Macaca mulatta: one gene and its partners. The main gene of each other region encodes a partner of the protein of the gene in region 2 in a complex. Links are inferred from orthologs where the notes say so. Each region holds a gene or a part of one and is shown on either strand. Other genes may lie near its edges. The genes, in order: CNOT6L, CNOT10 and CNOT6.

Region 1 (6,787 bases), on a different chromosome or scaffold from region 2:
TGAGAGGATAGAATAGTATTTGAAGGAAAGATGGCTAGAGACTAAACTAAGGGCACACATGAGTAGAGAGAATTGAGCTCTTAGTCCAACAGAAAATGAACTTTTCAGTTTTATACATATATTTTGTAATGCTATCCCAATATTGAAATCTATCAGTAAAAGAAGATAGGTAACATCAAATGTAAAATTCCTTGTGATCAGCATCGAATACAGATCCATTTGTATTAGTGAGGAGCCATTGTATCAGAGAGGTGTTAAATTTTGTTTCTTGGCTTAGTATTTGTTTACTTTCTTGGTCCTTGAACAAAATAGAAATGTAGAAAAGAGGTATTTAGAGCTCAGATTCATTTAATTGCAAACTGATTTGGAATGAACTGAAGAGTAAACAATTAGAAGAATTACTCCTTTTTCAACATTACTTTCAGACCAGGTAAGTTTAATAAACAGCTTAATTCAAACCTGCTGCTGATCCTCACCCCACGCTTATCCTCTAATCTGAGGGTGTGCCTGAATCATTTAATAAAAGGAAGGGCAGCTTTTATTTTATAGCAAATAGTAAACTTTTCTGTTACATTATGAAATTGGTATTGTAATTTTCTGGCATTCTTTTAAAAAACAAAGCTTAGCATAATGGTAACTCAGACTATTAATATTTTCGTTGTGTTTTGACTTTTTTCCAAATACAGTTCTATAGACTTATACAATAATAGTCCTTACTAATATAAAGAGTGCATTTTCCCACATTATTAGTATTATATCTTTTAAAAAAGAAACTGACTCAAAAGGGTTAAAAATCATTAGTCTGTAACCTCCTTTGTGCCTATGATCAAAGTTAGGGATCCTTCTCATAGGTGTATATGTACAAATACGTTGGGTGAATTCAGACATAACCTGGCTAAGGGTTTTGGTAAGAGTTTTTACTCCGGATATTTCAAACCAAGAGAATGATTACAAGTGATGCGTTCAATTAAAAACATCTTACTTCCTGGAGTGTTTAACATTTTTTTCTTGGGGCCTACCTTTGCAAAGAATTCTAGCAGTTGATGTGCATGATGGCGCTCTAATAAGGTTGTAAGATATAGGAGGCTTTGTTGCCCAGGCTGGAGTGCAGTGGTGTATTCTCAGTTAACTGCAACCTCTGCCTCCCAGGTTCAAGCAATTCTTTTGCCTTGACCTCCCTAGGAGCTGGGACTACAGGTGCATGCCCCCAGACCCAGCTATTTTTTTTGTATTTTTAGTAGAGATGGGGTTTCACCATGTTGGCCAGGCTGGTAATGAACTCCTGGCCTCAAGTGAGCTGCCCACCTCGGCCTCTGAAAGTGCTGGGATTACAGGAATCAGGCATGAGCCACTGTGCCCGGCCTTATAGGAGGTTTTATTCCACATAAGTAATTGAGATTATTTCATGTGTTTTATTTTAGAATTGAAGCAAAAAGTTGTCTCATAAGGAGAAATAAAATTACCCTGATCCTTGTTAACTCATTTTCTGAAATATCACTGTAAAACTGTAAAACTAGGCATATAACCAAAATGAAGGGATAATACCTTATGATCCTATCATTTTTTGACCATTTAAACTTGGAGTCCCCTGGACTCATGTAAGTTCCTTAATTTGTGGTAAAGTAGGGTTGGATAAGGGCTTCTTTTCTTTTATTATTATTATTTTTTAAGAGACAGAGTCTTGTTGTCAGCCAGGTTGGAAAGCAGTGGGACAATTATAAGTAGCCTCAAACTCCTGGACTCAAGTGAGCCTCCTGCCTCAGCCTCCCAAGTAGCTGGGACTATAGGTGCATGCCGCCACACCTGGCTAATGTTTGAATTTTTCGTAAAAACCCAGGTCTCATTATGTTTAACCAGGCTGGTCTTGAAGTCCTGGGCTTAAGCCATCCTCTTGCCCCCGCCTCCCAAAGGGTTGGATTATAGGCATGAGACACTGCACCTGAATCTTCTCTCTTAGGAGAGGAGCAGTTTTGGTGTTTTGATATTGGTCAAATGAAAATCAACAAACTGAAATGATTGTGTCCAAAATCTCACAATATAAAAATTTGTTTTCATTAAAAGTTTTTGTGTTTTAAGTAGCCCGTTTCATTATAATACTTTTTAAAGTATTGGCTGGAACTCGTGTATAGTATTTGTAAATAGGTTTTTACAGGTGTAGAAATATTTCTCCCTCCTTGGGCTCAGGCTGTCCTGATATGAATAGGAACTAGATAGGAAGAAATTTGATTTTGCTCTCTTGCATACACAACCTGGGATAATAAAAGCCCCCTGGTTTTGAGACTTACTGATCAGACTAATCAAGTCATTTAGCTCTGAGAGATAAAACTGCTATGTATGGCTTCCTGCTGAATGATTTTTGCTGAGTTATCCTTATGCAGGAAGGAAATCCAGAATTTACACATATTCTAGTATTTGTGAAAATGAGTATTTTAAATTAAGAATAGGACAGTTAACTAACTGTGTAGTGTTTTGTATGTATGTAGCAAATCTGGGAAAGCTAAACTAGGATTAGCAAATTCATAAACATGGTTTACTACAGCTTCAGCCAGGTGTGTTTGGATATCTCGATATGCAAATAATTGAAAATAATACCATTAACTATGTATGCGCTTATATATTCTTATTTTCTACTTATTATAGCCAATAGGATTAGTACAGGTTCCATTATATTTATACTGATATGTTAGATTTCACTAAACCAAGCAGGCCAATTCTAAAGATAACTGGACATAATTTAATGTGTTTAGCTTCTCAAATTATCACTTACACACAAATGCAAGGATTTATAATTCCAGTAGCATGCTGTGTTTCCCTATTGAGCCACCTTTATTTCATGTAATACCCATTGAAGATTTGAGTCTTACTTGACCCACTATCAAGACAACAGGTACCAAAAGAAAAGATACTCAGTTTTTTGTTTTTTATAAGTTATGGATTGTTCTTTATATATCCTGAATTTTTCTTTTCTTCCTATCCCCAATCTCTTTCCAGGGCGTGATTGACTACATTTTCTATTCCAAGACTCATATGAACGTGCTTGGTGTCCTGGGGCCTTTAGATCCTCAATGGCTGGTTGAGAACAACATCACTGGGTGTCCACACCCTCACATCCCTTCAGACCACTTCTCACTGTTAACACAACTTGAACTCCACCCTCCACTCCTGCCTCTTGTCAATGGTGTTCACTTGCCTAATCGGAGGTAGTGGAGTACTGCCCCGCCAAGACGGGGATCTGTTGCTATGGACCTGTACAGTTGTAAATCAAAGTATGTAGGAGTGAAGTATGGCCATCCTTAAGCTGCTTCTTCAGGTTTCTTTCATTATGTGTTTGCTGTAAGACTTTGTACATTTTTGTGCATATTGGTATCATTTGGCAGTAGGGCTGGAACCAAAGTATTACTCTCTTTCCAAAATTTTAATTTAACATGTTTTTAAATTGGACCTCCTCCTTTATATTGTATTAAGAGCCAGCATTCAAAATTGATAAATTACCAATTTGAGGCCCAACAACAGTGTATTTGTTTTTCCAAAACAAATACTTTCTTTTGAGTGGTTTCAGTGAGCCAACCATTTTATAAAAGGCAATTTTTAAAAACTATAAATACAGTATTTTAAACTGAATGATGATATGCCTTCCAGGAAAAACCTTGAATTTTTCCTTTATAACTGATTTTTGGATTCCCAAGTCATTTGCACATTAACAGAGTACTTAAATTTGCTCATTCTGTACATAAACTATGAGATAGCCTCTACACGTTTTAAGAGAATTTGAAAAATTAAAGATGGTTGTACAATATGCTTTCATAATCAAGCATGTAACACCACAGGACAATTTGTTGGCCAAATGCTAGTTTGGGGTTTTTTTGAGGAATCAATTTGGTTTTTTTGTCCTCTCTATATAACCTTGTTGGAAGTATTAATTCTAAGCCTGTCTCTCAAGTTTATTTATAGAGAAAGAGTAAGTAATCTGTATTGCCACATACCTTGAAAATAGAATGCGGTACATTTAGGATGCCCACAGAATGAATTTTTCCTTACTCCAATTCAACCTTCTTTCTGTTCGGTTGTGCCAGGAAAACAGATGTTATATGACCTATATCATTTTTGCCATTATAGTCAAATGTTAAAGAAAATCTGAATAAAAGGACCTTGATCAAAGTTTCAGATAGGGAAAATCATACAGATACTTTATGTGTTTCCAACATAGATTATGGGGCTGTTGGTTTTTTTGAGATGACAGTGCAAAGGATTTGGGAGAGAGGGAACACATTTGGGGCAGTAGTTGAAAACCTTGGGCCATTGTCCTGACTCTAGCTGCCAAATGGCCATCATATGCTTTTAATCTTTGTTTCCTTTGTCTGTCAGGGTTGAATTAAGAAGCTACTGGTTTATTCCCAATTGTTGATGCCTTTAGGTATGTTGGAATCTTTTTTTTGCCTAAGAGGGGCCAGTTGAAAATCTGTGACTCAAGAGGCAGTGAACAGAATACTGTTTTCTGGGGAATAATTGGTTCGCTACTTGATGTTAATTATGGCACAGTAACAGGAAAAGGTTGTGTCTGTGTTTTTAAGTTTTTCTTTATTCTGCTTTTTTGCTGCTATAAGAGTTTTCTGAAATTTATATTTTAAACTTTTCATGCACTTTACTGTTTCTAGTCTCAAAATGTGATATTTTTATTAAACAAGAAATTTTCCATTATGCGAATGAAATTTTAAAAGACAATAGCCTATATTTGTGTCTCACTAATATATAAAGTACAGGTCAAATTTAAATTATTTAATTAGTTTTAAATGTACACAATTTGTCTCCTCTTTCAAACCTGACATCTTAGACTGTTTTATTGGTCTTAAATGATACATTTACTTTGGTCATTTTATGCTAATTTCTTCCATAGTAAATTAATCAGGCTATATAAGATAATATTTCCCCAGAAGGGTAATTTTAGTGGGACGAGGGTGGTGGGATGATGTCATATCATACATGGGATTGCATCAGAAGGGTTCTGTAAAGCCTAAACTCCCTTTTAAAAGTGCCTAGTGATAGAGGCGTTGTTTGTCATCTGTTATAATTGGAATGTCATTGTAGTTCAGTGAATTTTGATGTAAATATTCTTTTAAAAATGTTAAAGTACCAGAATAAACAAAAAGAAACAACCCTTAAGATGACAGATTTTCCTCAACATGCAGGTTTCCCTTCTTATATACCTCAAGTATGCAACATCTAGCCATGCAAATTGATTACCTGAAGCATAGTACTGGAAAGTAGAATAGCATGAAAAACTTAATTTTGTGGACATTACCTTTTTTTGTAATCAGCTACTGTATGTTTTATTTTAGATCTTTTGTTTTGGGTGGGTTTTCTGCTCTGGAGGTATATGCACTAACAAAACATTTTCCTCCTTTCATATACGCATGTTAATTAGCAATGTGAGCAATATTTCCTACCATACTTCACTCCCAATATTTTTTGAGATGTTTGTATAAAATGGAATTTAAAGTTCACTTATGATTGTATATGAACCACAGAGGAGCCCATTTATTAATAAAAAACTTTTTTAATAGTTAAATGTAGAGGGAAAAAATAAAAAAAAATGGGAAACGTTGTAAACAGCTTAAGTTTATTTTGTGTATGATCGAGGCACTCTGTTGCAGGAAGGTGTGTAATTGGGTTCTCTCTGCTTCAAATGCGCTCTTTCAAACCATTCATTATCCTGTGTATTTTTAATGTGGTTTTAGTAAATGTTGGTAGTAGCTCTGTTGAAGTAGGTAATTGTGTTATGTTTTGGGTGGTACACACTTGGGGCATGGTAACCCAAATTTCATGTGCACGGTTTCCCTTTAGCCCACTGCCCAAATTTCACATACCCTTCACCCTCTGTTCCCTTTGTAAAAGGAGTGGTATCTGTTTTGAGCTGCCAATTCAGATGATCAGAAATGCTGCTTTCCTCAGCATTGTCTTGTTAAAACGCATGCCATTTGGAACTTTGGCAGTGAGAAGCCAAAAGGAAGAGGTGAATGACATATATATATTCAATGAAAGTAAAATATATATTCTCATATACTTTCTAGTTATCAGAATGAGTTAAGCTTTATGCCTTTGGGCTGCTGCATATTTTAATCAGAAGATAAAAAAATCTGGGCATTTTCAGAATGTGATACATGTTTTTCCTAAAACTTAAATATTTCGATATTTGTCTAAGAACTGGAATGTTCTTTAAATTTACTAAAACAGTATTGTTTGAGGAAGAGAAAACTGTACTGTTTGCCATTATTACAGTCATACAAGTGCATGTCAAGTCACCCACTCTCTCAGGCATCAGTATCCGCCTCATAGCTTTACACATTTTGATGGGGAATATTGCAGCATCCTCAGGCCTGACATCTGGGAAAGGCTCAGATCCACCTACTGCTCCTTGCTTGTTGATTTTGTTTTAAAATATTGTGCCTGGTGTCAACTTTTAAGCAACAGCACTGCCTAAAAGCAAGCAGAGAACAGAATCCCAGCACCATTCTATAGGCAACTTTTTAGAATTCAGATATAGTAAATCTGTTCCAGATTTATGATGTTTTATGTAAAAAAAAATTTTGTATAATAACATAGCTGAATATTTTTGTTTCATTTCTTTGATGTAAGGCGTGTGAACATTCGTTTGAATATCACATGTTGAAGTCAGGTATGGCACAATGGGTTCTGAGACCAGCTTTTCCTCCCTTCCCATTTGCCTTGTTCCAAGCTCTTTCTTTTCAAATTACTTTTCTGATATTCATAGGCAGATATTTAATTTTAC
Region 2 (7,276 bases):
GTTTTGTTCTCTGTTTGAGATAGGGTCTCACTGTCACCAAGGCTAGAGTACAGAGGCCCAATTATAGCTCACTGCAACCTTGAACTCCTGGGCTCAAGCCACCCTCCCACCTCAGACTCTGGAGTAGCAAGGACTTCAGGGTCACGCCACCATGCCTAGCTATTTTTTATTTAATTTTTATTTTTTATGGAGACGAGTCTGGTTATGTAGCCCAGGCTGGTCTTGAACTCCTGGCCTCAAGCGATTCTCCCACCTCAGCCTCCCACAGGTGTGAGCACCTCTGCCCAGCCTGAAACTATGTGTTGTCTCTTATTTGTCAGATATTGTTCTAGGGACTAGAGCTAGAACACAACTAACACAGACAAAAGTCTGTATCCTCGGGGAGCTTGTATTCAAGAGGTCAGCCTGATGTTCTTTAAACATTTTCCAAGCGAGGGTTCTGTACATTTGTACATGCATTGTTCCTCTTACCTGGATCATTCTTCCCAACACAGATGGCTCTTTATCCTTAGCGTCTCTGTTTAAACGTCAACTCTAAGAAAGCCCTTCTCTAACTAACCTATCTGAAAAATAGGGCTTCTGCTTTCAGTCATCCTCTATTCTCTCTCTCTCTCGTTTTTTTTAGATGGTGTTTTGCTCTTGTTGCCCAGGCTGGAGTGCAATGGCACGATCTTGGCTCACTGCAACCTCTGCCTCCTGGGTTCAAGTGATTCTCCTGCCTCAGCCTCCCGAGTAGCTGGGAATACAGCTACTTTTGTATTTTAAGTTAAGACAGGGTTTCACCATGTTGGCCAGCCTGCTTGAACTCCTGACCTCAGGTGATCTGCCCACCTCAGCCTCCCAAAGTCCTAGGATTACAGGCGGAGCCACTGCGCCCAACTCTCTTACTGATTTTTATTGTATTTATTTATTTATTTTTGAGATGGAGTCTGACTGTCGCCCAGGCTGGACTGCAGTGGTGCAATCTTGGCTCACTGCAAGCTTCGCGTCCCGGGTTCACAGGCTCCTGCCTTAGCCTCCTGAGTAGCTGGCACTACAGGTGCCTGCCACCACGCCCAGCTAATTTTTTTGTATTTTTAGTAGAGAAGGGGTTTCACTGTGTTAGCCAGGATGGTCTCGATCTCCTGACCTTGTGATCCGCCTACCTCGGCCTCCTAAAGTGCTGGGATTACAGGCGTGAGCCACCATGCCCGGCCTTTTATTTTATTTTTTGAGAGAGGGTCTCACTCTGTTGCCCACAGTGGCCTGATCATAGCTCACTGCAGCCTTTAACTCCTAGGTACAAGCAATCCTCCCACCTCAGCCTCCCTAGGAGCTGAGACTATGGGCACATACCACAATGTTTGGCTTTTTATTTTTTAGAGTCAGGGTTTCACTTATGCTGCCCAGGATTGTCTCAAACTCCTGGCCTCAGGCAACCCTCCCACTTCAGCCTCCCAAAGTGCTAGGATTACAGGCGTAAGCAACTGCAGACAGCCTCTCTTCCTCATTTTTTTCTTCTGAGTATTTTTTTTTTTTTTTTTTTTTTTGAGATAGAGACTCACTCTGTCACCCAGCCTGGAGTGCAGTGGCGCGATCTCGGCTCACTGCAACCTATGCCTCCCGGGTTCAAGCAATTCTCCTGCCTCAGCCTCCTGACTAGCTGAGATTACAGATGTGGGCCAGCATGCCCAGCTAATTTTTGTATTTTTAGTAGAGATGGGGTTTCACCATGTTGGTCAGGCTGGTTTGGAACTCCTGACCTCAGGTGATCCACCCTCCTCAGCTTCCCAAAGTGCTGGGATTACAGGCGTGAACCACCACACTCAGCCTTCCTCAGAGTATCTATCACAACTTGAAATCATCTTATTTTTCATTTTGTTTACATGCTTATCTGTCCTTCATACTACATAAGCTCCAGAACAGAGACTTTGTTTTGTTCCTGCCCAGTTCCTAAAGTAGTACCTGGCAAAACAGGCCATTGGTGAATATTTACTGAATAAATTAATATCACAACATTAGCTCGTCTTAGGTGGTCTCTGGGCTTCCCATCTTGCTTCATTTAAATCCACCATCTACAACTCTCAGCGTGATCAGATCACTCATCTTAGGTCCTTTCATGACCCTTTTTTCTTACCTGATGAAGAACACACACACAAGACCCTCCATGACAAAGATACTGACCTCATGAGCTGAGAGAGGAAGCAGCGTGTAAGACAGACTTTGAATGAATGGTGTTCAACAGACTGAGAAGAGAAAGGACATTACGGCTGAGAAGCTCAAAAAGCACAATGCTTTGCAACAGTAATTTATGATGTGAAGAGCTGGGTAGGTTGATATAGAAAAACCAGCTGGAAATAGATTTTGAAGATGCTCACAAACCACATTAAAGAGTGAGGACGGTCCGACGTGGTGGCTCACGCCTGTAATCCCAGTACTTTGGGAGGGCGAGGCGGGAGGATCACAAGGTCAGGAAATCGAGACCATCCTGGCTACCACGTGAAATCCCATCTCCACTAAAAAATACAAAAAAATTAGCCAGGCGTGGTGGTGGGTGCCTGTAGTCCCACTACTGGGGTGGCTGAGGCAGGAGACCATGTGAACCTGGGAACCCAGGAGGCAGAGCTCGCAGGGAGCCAAGATCCTGCCACTGCACTCCAGCCTGAGCAACAGAGGGAGACTCTCAAAAAAAAAAAAAAAAGGACTTAAAAGGAGAAAGAAAATATAATAAAAATTAAATAAAAAGAATGACTTGATGCCCAAAGCATGTACAGTCTTAAAAACTTCATAGGAAGGGGAATGATAGGATTCAATGAATGCCTTAGGGGATAAAAAAAAAAAAGGGGGGGGCAGGGTGACAGTGAGGAAAATGGATGGGATAGGAAGAGACAAGAGACAAACACCAGTGAGACTACTTAGTGCGACATAGATCATACTAAAAGACAAAGGCCAGAAACACAGCAGTTGAGATGGACATGAGCAGAAATTCAAAGGAGCCACACTAAACATTCATCTATTTTATACAAATTTAACCTTATATCTAAGCAGGAAGTTTCCTTCAACATGGCCTCTGAACTTAAACCAACGAATAAAACAGTCTCCTAATCCCTGTGGACCTTATTCTTCAACTACACACATTACACAGCTCTTACTAAACAGGAGTGCAGCTAGGATATGTCCGTCTCCTCCAACAGACTGAACAGCAGGTCTTCAAAGGCAGGGAGTGTGTCACATCTATTATTCAACACTCAATCGTTGCGAATGAATAAATGAACGAGTAGAAGACTTTATGACTGAGGATTTGAAAACTGGATAGGCTTTAGGTCTAACAAGGTGATTTCGGGCAAGCGCAATGGTATGAGCAAGTAGGAATGGTAAATGTGGGGAACACAGACACCATTCTAAAATCAGGAGGATGTTGGTCCCCTTGTCCAGACTTGGACAGGCCATGCCTCTTTCCTGTCTAATAGTCTCTCCCTCATCCACCTTTCCCCATTCCGTATCCGCTCATTCCCTCACTTCTTTGAGGTATCTGCTCAAATATCTCACCAGAGGCCTTCCCTGATCAACCTATCCAAAATTTCACAGCACATTCCTTATACCCTCTCTAGGTCTTTGTTCTGTTGTTTTTCTTCTTAGAAGATTATTGAAGAGATCCTCTAACGATTTTTATTCCTCTGTACCTAAAATATAATTGGCTTAAATTTCCAAGTGAAGTTCACTTGTCAGTTACTGCGATCAGAACCTACTAAAATCCACAGGATACTGAGATTTTATACTAAATTCACTGTAAAAATTTTAAGTTCCATCACTTTTAAATTCTGTCACTTAAGTTCTTTCCAATAAAACCTGGATGCCACAAAGAATATTAATTTATTGCGGGAAACATTCCGGACACGGTCAGGAAATAATTTTATATTCCTTAATGGGGAAGATTCTAGGAATGGGAGCAATAATCCATAAAGAAAACCATCGAGATTAAGTAATTTCGAGGAACTACGGCAATTAGGTACCAAACCCAAGATTTTACAAGCATAGACTGTAGAGAGGCAATATGCCTATTTAAATAAGTGGTTTACTTTGGGAAGCCGAGGCGGAAGGATCGCTTGGGCCCAGAAGTTCGAGATCAGCTTGGGCAACAGAGCGAGACCCCCACCCGTCTCTATTAAGGAAAAAAAAAAAAGTGGTTTTTACAAAGTTAATTCCATAGAAGTCAATGACCAGACGAAGCCACGTGTGGCCAGAACAGCCCAGGTGAATCCCAGCCTGAACCACGGGATATAGGCAAATGTGTGCTCCAGGGTGACTTTCTCTTGTCTGCTTTTCCCACGAAGAAGCGGAAAATTCTGCGAAGCGGCAAAATACACTTAAGCTTTTTGGGCCGGAGTTATTCTGGAGAGCAGGGCAAAGGCGGCCAGCAGCGACTTCACACTGCACTTGAGTAAAACAACTACTGGACCCGGGGCCCGAAGACTCATGTTAGCGACAGCCGAGATAGAGGATGGGGTAAAGAAATGCACGCCCAAATTCAAGTCGCCCTGGAGTCCCCATCCGGGGCCCCGCGCCTCCGAGTTCAGGGTCCGCCCGGCCCCGCACGTCCCGCCGTCTCGTCGCTCGGGACATTGGCGTCCTACCTGCAGGCTTGTCTGCAGCCATCTTCCCGCTTCGGCTTGGGTTCTTCCCTGCAGGTGGCGTGGCCCTGACTCCCGCCGCCGGGCTGGCCGCTGTCCTGGACCTATGAGGACAACTCTGTGCCTACCCCGGCTCTGGGCCCTCAGGTTCCGGCTTGGGGAGTGGGCAGACGGCTGGCTGAGGAAGTGACGAGCGCTAGTTCGCGTCGTCTAGCAACAGCAACAGCTTCCCCACCCAGAGAGCGCCACAGCCTCCCGCCATCCACAGCTTCCGCCCCACGGCGTCCCGGTACCCACTACTTCCGGGGGCGGCAGCCTGCCGCGCCTGGAGCGCCGGCGTGGGAACTGCTGCTGGCCCCGCCCCACGCCGACGTCCCCTCCGCGCCCCGCCCCCGGCCGGACGTACTCTGGCTGGAACCTCTGCATGTTCGCAGGGCGGATGCGATGGGACGTAAGCATCTCTGTCCTTTGGTTATTCTGATTAAAATACCAAAGTGTCAGAGCTTTTGTCCCTCAATGTCACATAAGATTACAGTAATCATATCTGACATTTATGTGCTAAGCACTGAGCCCTGCACTTGGTTTGTACTATCTCATGATTTCTTGCAACCCCGTGAGAGAGGCGCTGTTGAGGATCCCCGTTTAAAAACAAACGCTTTTTATTTTAGAATAGTTGTAGTTGTGCAGAAAAGTTGCAAAGATGACACCTAGAGTTCCTGTCTCCTCACCTAGTTTCTCCTAGTATGAACATCTTAATTATTTTACTATGGTACGTTGATCACATCCAATAAACCAGTTTGATTGGTGCATTATTACTCACTAAACTACACATTTTATTCACATTTACCAGCTTTCTTTCAATGTCCTTTCTTTGTTATTGTTCCAGGATCCTGTCCAGGACACCACATTGCATTTATTCATGATGTCTTCTTATGCTCTTTTTGGCTGTGGCAGTTTCTCAGATTCTCCTTGTTTTTGATGACCTTGACAGTTTTGAAGAGTTACTTCTCGGATATTTGGTGGAATGTGCCTCAATTTGGGTTTGGCCAATGTTTTTCACATGGTTAGACTGGGGTTTTGGGTGTTTAGGAGGAAGACCACAAGGTTACTGGCTATTCTCATCACATAGAATCAAAGGTACCTGCTCTCAAAATGACATCACTGATCATGTTAACCTTGATTACCTTTCTAAGGTAGTGCTTGCCAGTTTTCTCCGCTATGAAGTTACTCCTCCTACCCTTCCACACTACTTTGGAACCAAGTCAATAAATGCAACCCACATTCAAGGTGGGAAGGTGGGGTATTTAAGCTCAACCTCCTGCAGTGGGGAGTATGTACATAAATTATCTTCCCCCAGGGAAATTTGCCTCTTCTCCCTCATTTAGCTATTTGTATCAGTATGGACTCATGGATGTTTATCTTATACTGGTTACATTCCAATACTACATTATTTTGTTGCTAAAACTGTCCCAGCTTTGTTAATTGGGAGATTTTTCAGGTTTATACCTGTTTTTTTCTTTTTTTAAAAAAACTTTTGTTTTAAACTTTCTTCTAAAAAAGTATTTGTTTTTGGCCAGGCGCGGCGGCTCATGCCTGCAATCCCAGCACTCTGGGAGACCAAGACCAGTGGATCACTTGAGGTCAGGAGTTCGTGACCAGCCTGCCCAACATGGTGAAACCCGGTCTCTACTAAAAATACAAAAATTAGCCGGGCGTGGTGGTGTGCATCTGTAATCCCAGCTACTTGGAAGGCTGAAGCAGGAGAATCGCTTGAACCCAGGAGGCGGCGATTGCAGTGGGCCAAGATCGCCCCACTGCACTCCAGCCTGGGCAATAGAGTGAGACTCTGTCTCAAAAAAAAAAAAAAAAGGTATTTGTTTTTTCTTAAACTTTTAAATTCAGGCTAACATACACAAAGAAAAGTGCATGAATCATAAGTACAGCTTATTGACTTTTCATCAACTTAACGAATACATGTAACTAGCACCCAGAGAAAGGACAGAGCTTTACCTGTACCTGGGAGTTCCCCTCATGCCTCTTCCCATCTCTCCACAAAGATAATCATTATGCTGACATTTAACACTATGGATTAGTTTCACCTGCTTTTACACTTAATGAATACACATTATACAATATATGTTTTAGGATCTAGCTTCTTTTGCTTGATAGTATGAGATTCATTCACATTGTTGAGTGAGGTTGTATTTGTTTCTCATTGTTACATATATTATTATGTTACATTATGTGACTGTTCCTTAATTTATGTATTCATTTTGTTGTTGGGCATTTGGATATTATATCTATTTCAAATATGGCCAATATGAATACTCTAGTATGACTTTTGATGAATATGTGCCCACCATAAAAAGGCATACCTGGCCGGGTGCGGTGGCTCACTCCTGTAATCCCAGCACTATGGGAGGCCGAGGCAGGCAGATTACCTGAGGTTAGGAGTTTGAGACTAACCTGGTCAACATGGTGAAACCCCACCTCTACTCAAAAAAATACAAAAATTAACTGGACAGTGTGACGGGTGCCTGTAATTCCAGCTACTTGGGAGGCTGAGGCAGAAGAATTGCTTGAACCCGGCAGGTGGAGGTTGCAGTGAGCTGAGGTCGTGCCATTGCACTGCAGCCTGGCCAGCAAAAGCAAAACTCCATCTCAAA
Region 3 (6,787 bases), on a different chromosome or scaffold from region 2:
CTTGTTATGAGGTCAATTCCTTCTTAATCTTTCAATGTCAAGTTCAACTGCTTTCCAAAGACCTTCCTGAATCCTGCTCCTACCTACTTAGCCACCCTACCTCCCACCACTGATTCACTTCCCTTGCTAATGGCCATCTCAAGGTGTAATTATCTATTCATCTGTGTGGTTGAGACTTGTCTCTCATCACACCTCAGTTCCACGAGAGCAGGACTGTCTCTACCTGACCCCCTTTTCTCTCAGCAGCACCCCGCCATGGCATCTAATAAACTGTTCCCATCTGATGGTTCTGCTCCTCTCCTCGACATGCTCTTGGCCAAATGTCCTGAAGGACAGTCAAGTATCTTCTTCCTGCCTCTGTATCAGCAACAGAAAGAGAAAGAAAACCCTAAGCTTTCCCACCCTCTGGTTATACCCATGCCTTCTCTTCAATGTCTCCTGAAGAATCTGAAAGGAAGGGGCACTTGAGGATCAACAGGGGTTTACTTTCTGTGCTCTAAGGTGCAAGAGCTCCTGAGATACTGTCTAAACTCTTATTTACACTCTGACAATCTAATCTAAATGACTACTTTTCCAGCAGCTTAGAAACAGAAAGCTGGGAGTTGAGAAAGCAGAAATGCAACAAGTAGTTTAAAAGGCAGCTGAGTCAGATGCGGTAGCTCCCGTCTATAATCCCAGCACTTTGGGAGGCTAAGGCAGGAGGACTGCTTGAGGCCAGGGGTTCAAGATCAGGCTGGGCAATATAGCAAGACCCCGTCTTTACAAAAAATTACCCCAAAAAATGATTTGGGTATGGTGGCGCACACCTGTAGTCCTAGTTAGTGGGGAAGCTGAGGCAAGAGGGTTGCCTGAGCCCAGGAGTTCGAGGCTGCAGTGTGTTATAATCACATTACTGTACTTCAGCCTAGGCAACAGAGTGAGACATCTCTTTTTAGAAGAAGGACAGCTGAACACAAGAAAGTGACAGCCCTAAACAATCGCTAATGTTAAAAGTGATGATAGGCCGGGCGCAGTGGCTCAAGCCTGTAATCCCAGCACTTTGGGAGGCCGAGACGGGCGGATCACAAGGTCAGGAGATCGAGACCATCCTGGCTAACACGGTGAAACCCCGTCTCTACTAAAAATACAAAAAACTAGCCGGGCGAGGTGGCGGCGCCTGTAGTCCCAGCTACTCGGGAGGCTGAGGCAGGAGAATGGCGTGAACCCGGGAGGCGGAGCTTGCAGTGAGCTGAGACCCGGCCACTGCACCCCAGCCTGGGCGACAGAGCGAGACTCCGTCTCAAAAAAAAAAAAAAAAAAAAAAAAAAAAAAAGTGATGATAGTCTGACCAGGGGCGATGGCTCACGCCTGTAATCCCAGCACTTTGGGAGACTAAGATGGGTGGATCGCATGAGGCCAGGAGTTCGAGACCAGCCTGGCCAACATGGTGAAACTCCGTCTCTACTAAAAATACAAAAATTAGCCAGGTGTGGTGGCAGGCGCCTGTAATCTCAGCTACTTGGGAGGCTGAGGTATAATAATCACTTGAACCTGGGTGGAGGTTGCACTGAGCTGAGATCGTGCCACTGCACTCCAGCCTGGGCAACAGGGTAAGATTCTCTGGGGGGTAAAAAAAGATGTATCTTAGAAACACTTATAAATGGCTAACATAAACCACATTTTGGCATGCAAGAGTTTAGTTTCAATTAAAATGTTAAGAGACGGAACGTCTTACCCCAAATGTCACCCAAATTAGTTACTATGGTGCTGTATATCTAGCTATTAGTAAGGAGAATATAAGAAACATAATTGCGGCCGGGCGCGGTGGCTCACGCCTGTAATCCCAGCACTTTGGGCGGTCGAGACGGGCGGATCACGAGGTCAGGAGATCGAGACCATCCTGGCTAACACGGTGAAATCCCGTCTCTACTAAAAAATACAAAAAAGTAGCCGGGCGAGGTGGCAGGCGCCCGTAGTTCCAGCTACTCGGGAGGCTGAGGCAGGAGAATGGCGTGAACCCGGGAGGCGGAGCTTGCAGTAAGCCGAGATCCGGCCACTGCACTCCAGCCTGGGCGACAGAGCAAGACTCCGTCTCAAAAAAACCAAAAACATAATTGTCCCCAAAAGGTGAAAAAGTCAACTCAGGAATTTTACAGATTATTTCATCTGACTTCTTATCCTGAAAAATATTAGAATAAATATCTACAAAGTAAGGATATAACAGCAATCACGTGGACTTCTAAAGAAGGTAATAAAAGAATATTACTGGCTGAGCACAGTGGTTCACGCCTGTAATCCCGGCACGCTGGGAGGCTGACGTGCAAGAATCATTTCAGGCCAGGAGTTCAAGACCAGCCTGGGCATAGTGAGACCCCCATCTCTACAAAAAACACAAGAATTAGCCAGGCATGGTAGTAGGCGCCTGTAGTCCCAGCTACTGGTGAGGCCGAGGTGAGAGGATCATTGGAGCCCACATGGTTGAAGCTGCAGTGAGCCATCATTGTACCACTGCACTCCAGCCTGGGTAACAGAGTGAGACCTTGTCTCAAACCAAAAACAAAGAATATTGCTGTCAATCAATTCAAGATTGCTTCATTCCAGTCTGAACACACATCCACATTTTTAAAGACATAATGATGCATCAGCAGACTTGCCAGTAAAATAGAGGTTTGAAAAACTTATCAGTCTCAAGACACACCTTGAAATCAAACGTGTAATTTGTGTAAGGCATCAGGCCACTCTCATAGGCACTCTTTAACTTGAAACCATGAGTGATCCTTCCATTGGTGGTTCCATTCTTCCCGTGACAGCTGAAGTTGGTAAGACTTTCATTATACCTCAACTCCTTAAAGTCTTTGTGATTTGTTTCTACTCCACCCGTGCTCAAATATTCTACAACACCTACAATGAAGACAATTTTTTTTACTGTCAAATATAATATAAACAAAAAGTAATTTTAAAAGATCATGCAATAGTAAAAAGTTTTAAACTACATACTCCCATGTTCCAAAATGTTTCCTTTTACATTTGCCAGGACTTGTCCAAATCTATTTTTACACAGCTGTAATCACAGAATACTGAATAGTTTATACTTTGCTTTATGAACATGTGTCTTCCCAATTATCATTCTTTAATGCACAATGCAACTGGGCTGGTGGATAATATTTATGGTTACTTATTTTGTAAAATGCAGGTAGTTTCCACTTTTTACAAAGAATTAAAGATAACACCACAATCAACATCTTAGTATGCAGACTTCCTGCTTATGCTCAATTATTTACTTGGTATAAAATCCCAAGATTAGGACTGAATGTGCCATTTTACGATACTGCCAGCTATGGAACAGAATACCACCAGCTAGTTACAGAGCAAGCGTCCACATCCCTAGTCAAGTATTTTCCCAATTTACTAAGCATAGATGGGCTCTGAAAATAAACTTTCATTTGCATTTTATTCACAAATTAGCAAGGCTGGACATTTTCTGACCTGCCTGCTATTACAATATCGTATTTCTCAATGCTGAAATGGGTCTTGGGTATTAATGTGTGACTAGATTTTCTCTTTACCCCTCAGATACTTTGTAGCTACACAGAAAGTAGAAAGCATGTAGAGAAATTGTCAGAGACTACTACTCAACTGCTTCAGCAGCAGTAATCTCCAGACAACCTGATGAAATGAAATAATTACAGATTTTAGATAGCTTTGATTTTCCCTGAAATCGATTTTTTTTTTTTTTTGAAACGGAGTCTCGCTCTGTCTCCCAGGCTGGAGTGCAGTGGCGTGATCTTGGCTCACTGCAAGCTCCGCCTCCCAGGTTCATGCCATTCTCCTGCCTCAGCCTCCCGAGCAGCTGGGACTACAGGCGCCCGCCACCACGCCTGGCTAATTTTTTGAATTTTTAGTAGAGACGGGGTTTCACTGTGTTAGCCAGGATGGTCTCGATCTTCTGACCTCGTGATCCGCCCGTCTCGGCCTCCCAAAGTGCTGAGATTACAGGCGTGAGCCACCGCGCCCGGCCTGAAATCGAATTTTAACTCAGTTTCTTTCTTTCTTTTCTTCTTTTTTTTTGGAGATAGTCTCACTGTCACCCAGGCTGGAGTGCAGTGGGACAATCTTGGCTCACTGCAACTTCTGCCTCCGGGGTTCCAGTCATTCTTGTGCCTCAACCTTCGGGTAGCTGGGATTACAGGCCTGCACCACCACGCCTGCCTAATTTTTGTATTTCCAGCAGAGACGGGGTTTCACCATGTTGGCCAGCCTGGTCTCGAACTGCTGGCCTCAAGTGATCCGCCCACCTCGGCTCCCCAACGTGCTGGGGTTTTCTTTCTTCCTAATGGCTCTATCTATTGTGATGTCAATAATGTGTTTCCCAATGCGCATGTGTGTGTGTTCACGCATACACTCAAGTCCAAGGAGAAGTATTCCTGTGTGTACAAATGAGTGGAAACACGAAAAGGAAGAAACAGTTTGTTATTACAAGGGCTATTGTTTATTGCATACTATCTATGGAAAGAGCATTCCAGATCAGGCTTTCTGTATTCTACATTTTAATAATCAAGATCCTTGCTCTTTGTTAAAATCGCTTGACTGATGTGTGTGTAAATAAAGGAGCTCAATTTCTACTTGAGGTGTATTTTTCTAATCAAGTTACAAATACGTGCAAAATTGAGATTCCCTAATTTTAACTCAAATTTAAACTATGATTATATTACCAGATGCTGGAATCCCAAAGGGGTTGTCTCAATACCATAATTATCTCTGACTTGGGGGTAATAAAACGGAACTACATACGTTCTTTAAAGAGTTATTTCACGTTATTGGTTATGTGTTTATTCAAAATGATTAACATCCTTCTCCTCAAGCTTCCACAATATCGTTTCATCTTCAAAATGGCCCCTCCACCCCAACGTGACGTTTAAAACCTGCTCATAGCTGCCATTACAAACTGAATTTTTATTTGGACTTAATTTGGAATGATCAGAAACAAAACATTACTAAATCATTTTATGTCAAAAAATATTCTACATAAAATCACATTATTTTCTTACCAGAGTCTGGCAAAGAATTAAGATCTGCACATAACACAAGTGGAATAGTTCCAAATTCTCCCAAAACACTGGATTTGAGGTTGCGAGAGGCTTTATCAATAATGTTCTTCACTTCTGAGAGGAACATCATAGTCTGCACCAACTTCACATCAGAGTACTCAGGGTCCCAATGCATGTGCGCATTGGCCACGAGAATGAGCTGTTTTTCTGTTCCAAGATGTGGCTTTCCAGCTACATTAGATAAAAACGAAACAAAGAAAGAGACAAAACCCACCCATCAGCCCATATATTCTTACAGCGTCTGGGCAAATAATCTCTCAGAGTCCCAGAATAGAAAAGACACCTAAAATTTCCATCGGATGACTGAACGTGCCCTACAACAAATCTGAGAAATACACGCCTAAACCTGGGCTGATGCTTCCAGCACAGAGCATTCACTACTTGTGCAAAAACAGCCCTATTTGGGACAGCTTGATTTTTAAAATTCTGTCTCCTTGAAACTTTTGGTCTTAGTTTGGATGTCCTAAATCAAGCCTCACAAAATTACATCTAAACCCGTTTTCTTAGATGTAAGTCCTATTTCCATTTTTTCTATACTTCACATTAAATATCTCCAGTTCCAACTGTTCCTCAAGGGACACAAGTTTCAGCTCCCAGCATAATGGTCACTTGAAATATACTTTCAATTTGAAGTGGTCCATTTATCCCAAACTCAAGACCTTTAAAATAATTATTTTATTTTATATTTTTCTTTATTTATTTTTTTGAGAAGCAGTCTCACTCTGTCACCCAGGCTGGAGTGCAGTGGGGCAATCTCAGCTCACTGCAACCTCTGCCTCCCAGGTTCAAGCAATTCTCTCCCTCAGCCTCCCAAGTAGCTGGGATTACAGGCGCCTACCACCACAGCCAGCTAATAAAATGATTATTTTAAACAGATCAGGAAAAGAAGTCAGCTTACAGGACATCCTTGCTGCCAAAAAATTATAAACGTGTATGGAGTTCTTACCCCTGAGCAGTTATTTTAATTTATATTTACTTCAACATTTCTTTTTTATATGAAAAATTCTTAAGCACACAAAAAAAATGTTTCTTAATGCTTTTCAAGGCTTCTAATACTTTAACGGGCAATGCTTTCTCATGTTGTTTTGTGGTAGAGAAAAAGAGATACATTTCAGGAAAGACAACTTCTCACTGAGTTTCTTCAGGTGTTAGACAAGACCATGAATACACAATGAAATTTCTGTTTTCTACTCTTTTGAAGATTTCTAGTCAGAGCTAGTCAATTTTACAGGAAGTGAAGGGCACTCACACGGCATTTCAATCGATTCCTTCCGAAGTTCTAGCAGTACTGCAACCCCAATGTTATCTTTTGTCATGACTCTGTTCAGCATAGCTTCAGACCCCTCAGAATTTGCCATGGCTAGCTGATTAAATTCAACAGTGTGTTTCTGAACCAAAGTAAATCTAAAACAAAAACAACACACAACACACACAGAGTTGGGAATACCAAGAGGTTAGCTTTGTGGGAAATGTAGTCTTCCCAAACTTCCTTCACAGATACGATGGCACTTAAATCACATTATGGAAAATCCTCCACGGTTAGCACCAAGGTTCCCACATCCATTTAAAGTTGCTCTCAGTCTGTTATTGATACAAATAACAACTTGAAATACTTTTACAACTGAAGAAAATGTAGTAATCTTCTGTTTAGGTTTTATGTTGGAATATTCTACCTTGTAATTTTTAAACAATTCTTTTCT

The links.
Region 1: CNOT10 (region 2) and CNOT6L share a complex: the UniProt entries of both Homo sapiens proteins name them as parts of the CCR4-NOT complex. The link is inferred for Macaca mulatta from reciprocal best matches to the Homo sapiens genes CNOT10 and CNOT6L.
Region 3: CNOT10 (region 2) and CNOT6 share a complex: the UniProt entries of both Homo sapiens proteins name them as parts of the CCR4-NOT complex. The link is inferred for Macaca mulatta from reciprocal best matches to the Homo sapiens genes CNOT10 and CNOT6.

What each region holds. Positions count from the first base shown.
Region 1 is NC_133410.1:56,078,306-56,085,092, forward strand, and holds part of CNOT6L (CCR4-NOT transcription complex subunit 6-like), read left to right. Parts: intron 1-2,991; coding exon 2,992-3,204; 3' UTR 3,205-6,787. UniProt on the Homo sapiens protein: Has 3'-5' poly(A) exoribonuclease activity for synthetic poly(A) RNA substrate.
Region 2 is NC_133407.1:15,845,106-15,852,381, forward strand, and holds the start of CNOT10 (CCR4-NOT transcription complex subunit 10), read right to left. Parts: upstream 4,799-7,276; 5' UTR 4,636-4,798; coding exon of another isoform or gene 4,614-4,635; intron 1-4,613. UniProt on the Homo sapiens protein: Component of the CCR4-NOT complex which is one of the major cellular mRNA deadenylases and is linked to various cellular processes including bulk mRNA degradation, miRNA-mediated repression, translational repression during translational initiation and general transcription regulation.
Region 3 is NC_133411.1:189,585,908-189,592,694, reverse strand, and holds part of CNOT6 (CCR4-NOT transcription complex subunit 6), read right to left. Parts: intron 6,492-6,787; coding exon 6,337-6,491; intron 5,259-6,336; coding exon 5,028-5,258; intron 2,881-5,027; coding exon 2,678-2,880; intron 1-2,677. UniProt on the Homo sapiens protein: Poly(A) nuclease with 3'-5' RNase activity.